2 linked regions of the Canis lupus familiaris genome follow. The protein of the gene in region 2 interacts with the protein of the main gene of each other region in a biochemical or structural test. Links are inferred from orthologs where the notes say so. Each region holds a gene or a part of one and is shown on either strand. Other genes may lie near its edges. The genes, in order: PPP2R2A and PPP2R1B.

Region 1 (3,815 bases), on a different chromosome or scaffold from region 2:
TTTTTAATTTTTATTTATTTATGATAGTCATACACACAGAGAGAGGGGCAGAGACACAGGCAGAGGGAGAAGCAGGCTCCATGCACCGGGAGCCCGACGTGGGATTCGATCCCGGGTCTCCAGGATCGAGCCCTGGGCCAAAGGCAGGCGCCAAACCCCTGCGCCACCCAGGGATCCCGAGACTAGGGTTTTAATCCCCAGTGGGGATTATGTTTTTTGGTATGCCTTGCATTCTTAATATTGGCAAACTCAATAATAATTGATACTGCTATCAGAGGGTTCAAATATAACTGGAACCATGAATGACCAAACCAGATAACCAAGCTGCTGTACAAAAACAACCCAAAACAAGCTTTTAAGGTGATGATTCACTAAGGTTTTCTTTTATATGTAGAACAATAATGAGCCATTCTTTTAATCAAGTCATCTTAAACATTTCATTTGATAAATTCACTTTTACTTTTGAATAGTTGGCTATCAGTAATATCTTTCCTTTAAACTATTTTTCCATAGGTTCTTCTTTGAACTAGACTTTTAATGTTTTTGACGGAAAGATTTTTAATCATGTGATAATAGGTTAAAAGGTGAAATTCTCTCATGGTTATAATTCTCACTTTTGTGAAGATACTAGTGTTAACTGAAGAAGTTGACAAGTAGTTGCTTTAGCTAATAGTTTAAACTGTATTCACTTACCCAGATACTAACTGAAATAAATCATCAGTGTGTGCTAGGCTCATAAGGCTAACTTAAGGAGAGGAAGAAATTGTCGATGGGTTTGTGGGGTGAGGTTTGCTGGGTAATGCTTTATGTGAACTTAATGAGTCACAGAGCTCTGTAACTGTGGTCTTGGGAGAAGCTGGGGTCAGATGATACTATTACATTGATGGAGTTCTTAAATAAGAGTTTTTCAGCAGTGACATGACCTAGAGACAGGCATGGGAAAGGAAGAGGAGGAAGACAATACATCCAATAAATAACTGATTTATGGTTGACCCTACAGTGGACAGAGAAAGTGTGCCGCAGCCAGCTGTTTTCTAACAAGCTTTTATTTATTCTTCCCTTTTAATTTTTTATTTTAATTTTCCCTTTTTAAAAAGGTGAGCGCCCTCATTAAGGGTGCTTAGATTTTTTTTTTTACTAGTAGTCCTCTACTATTTATTATATAATGATAAATTAGTAATCAGATTGATCAATATTTTAATGTCATTTTCCTATTGAATTGGGCTCAGGCTTTTTATTAAGCTTTTCCATTTTTTGTGAGGAGCTGTTTTATTTATTCCTAAAGGCCTTAAATATTTAAAAAAAAAAAAACCACTATAGTTGTATTTAAGATGCAGGTAATTAATTAACCAGAATTTGCAAGGTCTGTTGGAATTGATTGCATGTTTATGTTTTGAAATATTTCTCAACAATGGTCCAAATATTTTTGTTTCCATTTTAGAACAAAATCCAGTCTCATAGCAGAGGAGAATATAATGTTTACAGCACCTTTCAGAGCCATGAACCAGAGTTTGACTACTTGAAAAGTTTAGAAATAGAAGAAAAGATCAACAAAATTAGGTGGTTACCCCAGAAAAATGCTGCTCAGTTTTTATTGTCTACCAATGGTAAGTGTTAAATTTTTTTCCTTTTATATGCCTTTTATATATGTGTGTGTACATATATCCTGTACAATACTTAACTTTTACAAAGAGGAATAGATGTTCAGAGAGTTCTACAAATAGACACTTGGAAATAGACGTCTTCCCTATACATGATGTGTAAATTCTTCTTTGTCTTCCCTTTTTTCTTTTAGTTTTTAAATTCTATGAAAAAGATCTCAGGTGTCCATATTCACTTGGTATATACACACTCTGTAGTGAAAAAAGAGGACTTTACCACTGGATTTTAGATCAGGTACCATTTGTGCCACATCTTGGTTTAGTTGCCTTTGGCACATTATAACACAAGTCAAATTTTCCTCATCAGCAAACTGATGATGGTAATAATGTAATAGTATTGTTATGGGTAGTAAATGTGATATATATGATGATGATGATGATGATGATGATGATGATGATGATGATAAATGCCCCAAGCAGATGTGTTGGGACATACATAATTCACGTATTGGGATATTTGTTCTTAGTAATTTTGGCAGTTCACTTCTTACAGGATAAAGTATTTTTCTTTTTAATAATGGGAAATGTTTAAAATAAAGGCTGAACTAGAATAAGAAAGTCCTATGTACCCATCATCCAGCTTTAGCACTTCTCAGTTCGAAGCCAGTTGTTTGTTCAGGTACTTCTGCTTTCCCTCCTCAGTATTGTTTGGGAACAAATCCCATTTCGATTCATTTATGGATTAAATCTTAATTACCCCTCACTTCTCTGTTCATACTTGCATGTGTGTAACCAGATGAGCCTTTCTAGACAGTAAATTCTACAAACGCTCAGTAGAGGGAGAGGCCCTGGGAATTCTAGTCGTTGGGTCTTAGGTATGTGATCCTATCCTGTGTAGTATTTTCTATAGACAATCAACAGTGTCTCCCAAATAGATATACCATGTGAATTTTTAAGTCATTGATTAATAATACAAATTATTTTAAAGGGCACTACACAGTGCATTGTAGGTTTCTGTCTTTTGTTGTTACTGTTAATGAGCACTAAATAAAATACAATTATTTGGGGCTACATTATTTTTTTGTGATAAAAAACAGAACCCACTGTACAAGAATGATACAAGTGGGAATTTTACAGACTGTTGTGTCTGGATGTGGTGGGATGGGAAAAGGATGGAAGGAATAGAACTTAAGCTATATCTGGAGAGCTTTATTGTTTACAAAGAAAGAAAATAATGGGAGAATGTCAGTATCTCTTAAATCTAAGTCATAACTTTATATTATCTGGTATGTTTGCCTCTGTAAGATTGAGAATAACAATTCCTCTTCCCCTACATGTAACAGTCCTTTTGGCTCATAAAAGATGAACTCCTAAAGGGAGGTGGTGGAAAATAGCATGAAACATCCCCCACCTTTGATTGACTAAAAATAATCTCACTTTGGTCTTATATGGATTTCCCATGGTCATCATCAACCGTCCAGTGTTTCCCAGGTCATTTTTATTCACAGAACTTCACAGTGGCCTCCTTACAATTTTGGTTCATTTAATTTATCTTCACGTAACTTTATTCTCTTTCATCTCCTTTTGCTTTCTCAGAGTTTTCCACAATTCTTCCACATTGCAAAATGTCCACCTCTAACCTATTGACCGTGGATCTTGAATATATGAGTAATACAGAGTTTACCAGTAAATACCTTGTGTTTTAACAGCTGTTAATAAGTTTTTTAATAACAAAGCTACATTCATTCCCACAAGGAAACTTGGTAGATGGTTTTCCCTGTCCTACTCTCTCTTTATGGTGAGAGAAACACTGGGACTTTTGGACTTCTGGAATACTCTTTACTCATTAGTATTGACAATGTAGGGAAACACCATAGAGCACTCTTAACCTTTTGGAAATGACAGATTTCTTTAAGGAATCCAATAATACTCTTACAGAAAAATACATATATTTACATAATTTTGCATGTAGTTCTATGGAGTTTGATTATTGTCACATACTTCTAGTTGGCCAAAAACTACAGTTAATTAAATCACTACTATAGAGCTTAATTTTGACTTTTTAAAAATTTGTCCTAATTATTAAAATATTTTATTTCTGACATGCCTTGTTTCCAAGCATTGCACTGAAATTGTATAGTACTTTTCTATCCTGTGTTTATGCTATTAAGTTTTTTAAACCTCTTAAGTGACAAATTTTATCACATAAAATTT
Region 2 (4,358 bases):
CCATTTACTGAGATGGGCCCACTAAATGAGAGCCATACTGTAGGGAGAAAATTGAGTTCTGTTTTAGGCATGTTAAATTTGAAATGCCTGTTTGACATACAAGTGAGAAAATCAATCACTGCTAGGAAGATATAAGCAGTATTTATATCCATGGAAAGGTCAGAGGCAGAAATAGAAATCAGAAATCAGCATCATATAGACCGTATTTAAGCCATGAAGCAAACACCACTATTTGGTCCAACTGCTGAATTCCTAGTCATCCTTCAAAACCTAGTTCAGACATCATCTCCCAAGAGGTTTTCTCCTTTCTACTATTTAGGTACCTTCTATGTGCTTCTATCTTTCCATCTAACACTGTACAGTAATTACTTGTTGACACAGAAGGGCAGAGACCTCATTCCATTCACACTGGTGAACACTCTAACATCAGTGCCTGATACAGTAGGCTCTCAGTAAATGTCAGCCACTGTGAACCGAACTCCTCAAATTCAGTCAGTCAGAAGCAAGCCGTAGACTTACAATCAAAGATAAAAAGCTAATGGACATTTCCAGGGAAGCTGACTAGTTCAGTCTGTAGAGCATGTGGTTCTTAATCTTAGGGTTGTGAGTTCAAGCCCCCAGGCTGGGTGTATAAATTACTTAAATAAATAAAAACTTAAAAAAAAAAAAAAAAGAGAGAGAGAAGCTAACATTTCCAGAATCATGACACTATGAGATAAGAATTAAGATCTCCAAATTTAGAGTGGTGAGGGGGAGAACTCCTAAAAACAATCAAACCCTTTTTTCTCCCAAACACTAACAAGTCCACAGAGGCAGAAAAGGAAAAAAAAAAGAAATCTTATGCTCACAGTCAGAAAGAGAAAGGGTTAATTGAGTCCAAAGTGCCTACATTATTGTTTTCTCAATAGCCAATACTGTGACAATCCATAAAAAAAAAAAAAAAAAGTCTGCATTGAAAATGCTGTAGTGGGGTATCCCTGGGTGGCTCAGCAGTTTAGCTCTGCCTTCAGCCCAGGGTGTGATCCTGGAGTCCCGGGATGGAGTCCCACCCACATCAGGCTCCCTGCATGGAGCCTGCTTCTCCCTCTGCCTGTGTCTCTGCCCCCTCTCTCTCTCTTGTCTATCATTAATAAATAAAATCTTTTTTTTTTAATAAAATCTTTTTTTTTTTTTTAAGATTTTTATTTATTCATTCATGAGAGACACACAGAGAGAGGCAGAGACACAGGCAGAGGAGAAGCAGGCTCCACGCAGGGAGCCAGACGTGGGACTCGATCCCGGGACTCCAGGATCATGCCCTGGGCCGCAGGTGGCGCTAAACCGCTGAGCCACCCGGGCTGCCCTTTTTTTAATAAAATCTTAAAAAAAAAAAATGCTGTAGTGTTCCCATCACCACACAATGTATTGTTTATACTGGAGAAGCTCTAGAAGAATGGCAGGCAGAACGTACTTACCAGCAAACAGTGGGCAAAGTCAGGACCTCCCACCAGGCCAGTGAAATTTCCCAGTTGCTCAGCAAGAGCTAACAGTACCTCATCTTCATCATAAATTGTATCTGGAAATGACAACAACCCAATGCTCATCAACAAGGATAGCTGGCCCAAAGCGGGATACTCACACAAAACTATAAACCCTCCATGTCTAACTAGATGGTCCTGTCGATACTAACAGCATTCTGGATCCACTTTACACAATGAGTTAGAAATGGACAATCTTGTATCAATTACCTTCCCCTTAGCTAAACAGTCACTATCTTAATATATCTGGCCACAAGTTTAGTACGTTAGAGCATGTGTAACAGATTCTAAAAAGAGTCCAAGGACTGAAAGCCATTGGAAAATGGAAATGGCCATGCCTTTTCTTCAAACAAAACATTCCCATACCCGTAAGGAATGGCAGCAGTTCTGTTCGCGTCCTTTCGACTCCAAGCGCTAGAGCAATTGTTGATAACTTCTTAATACTGTTGAGACGGAGCTGTGAGAAGAAGACAGCGGAAAGCATGAAGCGCACAGCTGTGATTTGGACCAAAGGATGAAAAGTGACAAACAAGTGAGATAACGACATGCTCAGTGACAACGAGGAAAACCCTCCACTGAGATCTTATTCTATGAGGAACCTCGGGAGCAGCGCAACACAGCTTCACTTTAGCCAGAGGAAGGTTTCTCAAGAGCAACCCTCAAAGGGCCCCTCAGAAAAAGGAAAAAGAGCACGACATCCAGGAAGTGAGACAACTTCCACACACCCTGCGGCGCGGCGGGGAAGCAGGTGAAACGGCTGGATACGACCCTTGCCTTCCCAGAAAGAGCGAACACACCGACTCCCCTCGGTTAACAAGCCGCCTCACTCTTTCCGCCCAGCAAGCCAGGCCGGTTTCCAGGCCGAGGGGAAGGCTCCATCCACCCGCAGCTCGGCCGCGCCGCCCTCCGCCCGCCCGGCCGCGACGCGCGTTCCCCTCGCACCGCCCGGAAGGGGCGCCCGGCGGGAAGCCGGGGCTCGCACAACCGCCGGGATCGCGGGGACGCCTCAGGCGCCGAGAGGAGGGGGGCTGGCGACGTCCAGAGGAACGCCGGGCCGAGTCAGCGCAGCTCCTCGGGGCTCTTTACCTTCCTCCCCATCAAATTTCTGCTCCGAGTCGGGCTCTTCCAGTCCCCCGGCCTCCCCCACCGCGGAGCCGACCTTCCTCCTTCCCCACCACACGCCCGGCCGGGCCCGCCTCCACTCCCCGGCCCCATTCCAGTACCTGCACGTCCTCATTGCGGAGCTCGTCGATTAAAACCGCGATCGGGTATAGCGAATCGTCTCCATCTCCTCCCGCTGCCCCCGGGCCGGTCCCGGGCCCCGCTGCGCCCGCCATGTTCTTTCTCCTCAGGCTGGTCGCCGCCGCCCGCCCCGCGCCCAGGCCCCGCCCCCGCCCCGCGCCCAGGCCCCGCCCCCGCCCCGCGCCCAGGCCCCGCCCCCGCCCCGCGCCCAGGCCCCGCCCCGCGCCCAGGCCCGCGCTGCCGAGGCCGGCGCTCCCACCCGGCGGAGGCGGGGCGGCTGAGCCTCTACCCGGCTGGCGGAGGTCCCCGCGCGGACCCGGCTGCGGGAGCTGCACGTTTGAACTCCAGAACAAGGGTGGGCTGAGAAAGCGAATGGAGCCCCCGCATCCCTTACGCACCCGAAAGAAACAGGGGCAGGAATTCATTCTGCTCATGATGGGCCGAGGGGGTCAGGGACCTACCTGAGTGATGCGAACTGTGCTCCTGGGACTCTGGCGGACCAAAGAGGATGCCCAAGGCCAGGAGGAAAACAAATTTAGCGCCTCCCCTGACTTCATCCTGGCCCTGAGCCACCGGGTTTCCAGGCCAATTTCCCCCGCTAGCCTCAAGCTTCCCCAGAACCCCCACCCCCACCCCCCACCTCTTCCTCTGGCCTGGGAGCCAGAATTGTATCTGGCTTCTGCTCCGTAAGACAAATAACGCGGGCGGTGAGAGAAAATGAACACTGCTGTCCAAACTCCCCAGTCAATATTTTTTCCGCTTTTTCCATGCAAGCTGTTAAAAACATGCTGCTCTCTTGTTTTTGTGTTTCTTTTCAGTTTGGTACTGGAATGGTGCCTTCTGTTGTTTTTTCTTCCTCCCTCTTTTAGGTCTTTAGCATGCTACAAGCACAACAATCAAGCAAAACTAGGACAAGCTTTAATCCTTCCAAATTGGGTGGAGTGGCTACTTTGCTTGTACGAGAAAGGCTAAACTGGCCTCCCTAGAACTCTAGAGTCCTCAAAGGCACCAGGAGGAGGAGGTGAGGGGCCTGGAGTTCTTTCAAAACTTAATGGAAAGTTTTCCTTTACCCTTCTGAGGCAGCACAGAACAACTAGAATGGCCCCTCTTTTTTTGTTTTGGGACTATAATTTAAGCAGTTTATACTGATAAACTACATAGTGATCACAAGCTCCAAAAGTAATTGTAGATCTAATTAATAAACATTATTAATAAACGCAATTCAGGAGACATTTTAAACATGGCATTCATAGGAAAAAAAAAAAAAAAACAATAGATAGAACCTTTGGTAGGTGTGAAAGTTTGGGAACCACTGGACCTGAACAGTAGCTCTCAAATTAAGTCTGTGGATGTTTTCTGTATGGCTTCAGTTTGGTTTTCATTTTGGTAATAATTTTTAGATTTATATAAGCATATTCTGGACTATATGGATGATCACTTTATAACCAGTATTGCCATACTATTTCAAGACTCAGGTTTGCATGTGTGTGCTTTTACCCTTTTAGGATAAAGAAAAAAGAACAGAAGTGGATTTAAAATGAAAATGGTGTTTTCATGCACAAAATGAAAGCCACATGACATCATGGAAATGCACTGTCG

Evidence for each region.
Region 1: the proteins of PPP2R1B (region 2) and PPP2R2A form a complex in vitro, tested with the Homo sapiens proteins (2 studies listed by BioGRID). The link is inferred for Canis lupus familiaris from reciprocal best matches to the Homo sapiens genes PPP2R1B and PPP2R2A.

Annotation. Positions count from the first base shown.
Region 1 is NC_049246.1:31,381,867-31,385,681, reverse strand, and holds part of PPP2R2A (serine/threonine-protein phosphatase 2A 55 kDa regulatory subunit B alpha isoform), read left to right. Parts: intron 1-1,441; coding exon 1,442-1,607; intron 1,608-3,815. UniProt on the Homo sapiens protein: Substrate-recognition subunit of protein phosphatase 2A (PP2A) that plays a key role in cell cycle by controlling mitosis entry and exit. Involved in chromosome clustering during late mitosis by mediating dephosphorylation of MKI67.
Region 2 is NC_049226.1:21,355,964-21,360,321, reverse strand, and holds the start of PPP2R1B (serine/threonine-protein phosphatase 2A 65 kDa regulatory subunit A beta isoform), read right to left. Parts: upstream 2,902-4,358; 5' UTR 2,855-2,901; coding exon 2,741-2,854; intron 1,975-2,740; coding exon 1,884-1,974; intron 1,556-1,883; coding exon 1,455-1,555; intron 1-1,454. UniProt on the Homo sapiens protein: The PR65 subunit of protein phosphatase 2A serves as a scaffolding molecule to coordinate the assembly of the catalytic subunit and a variable regulatory B subunit.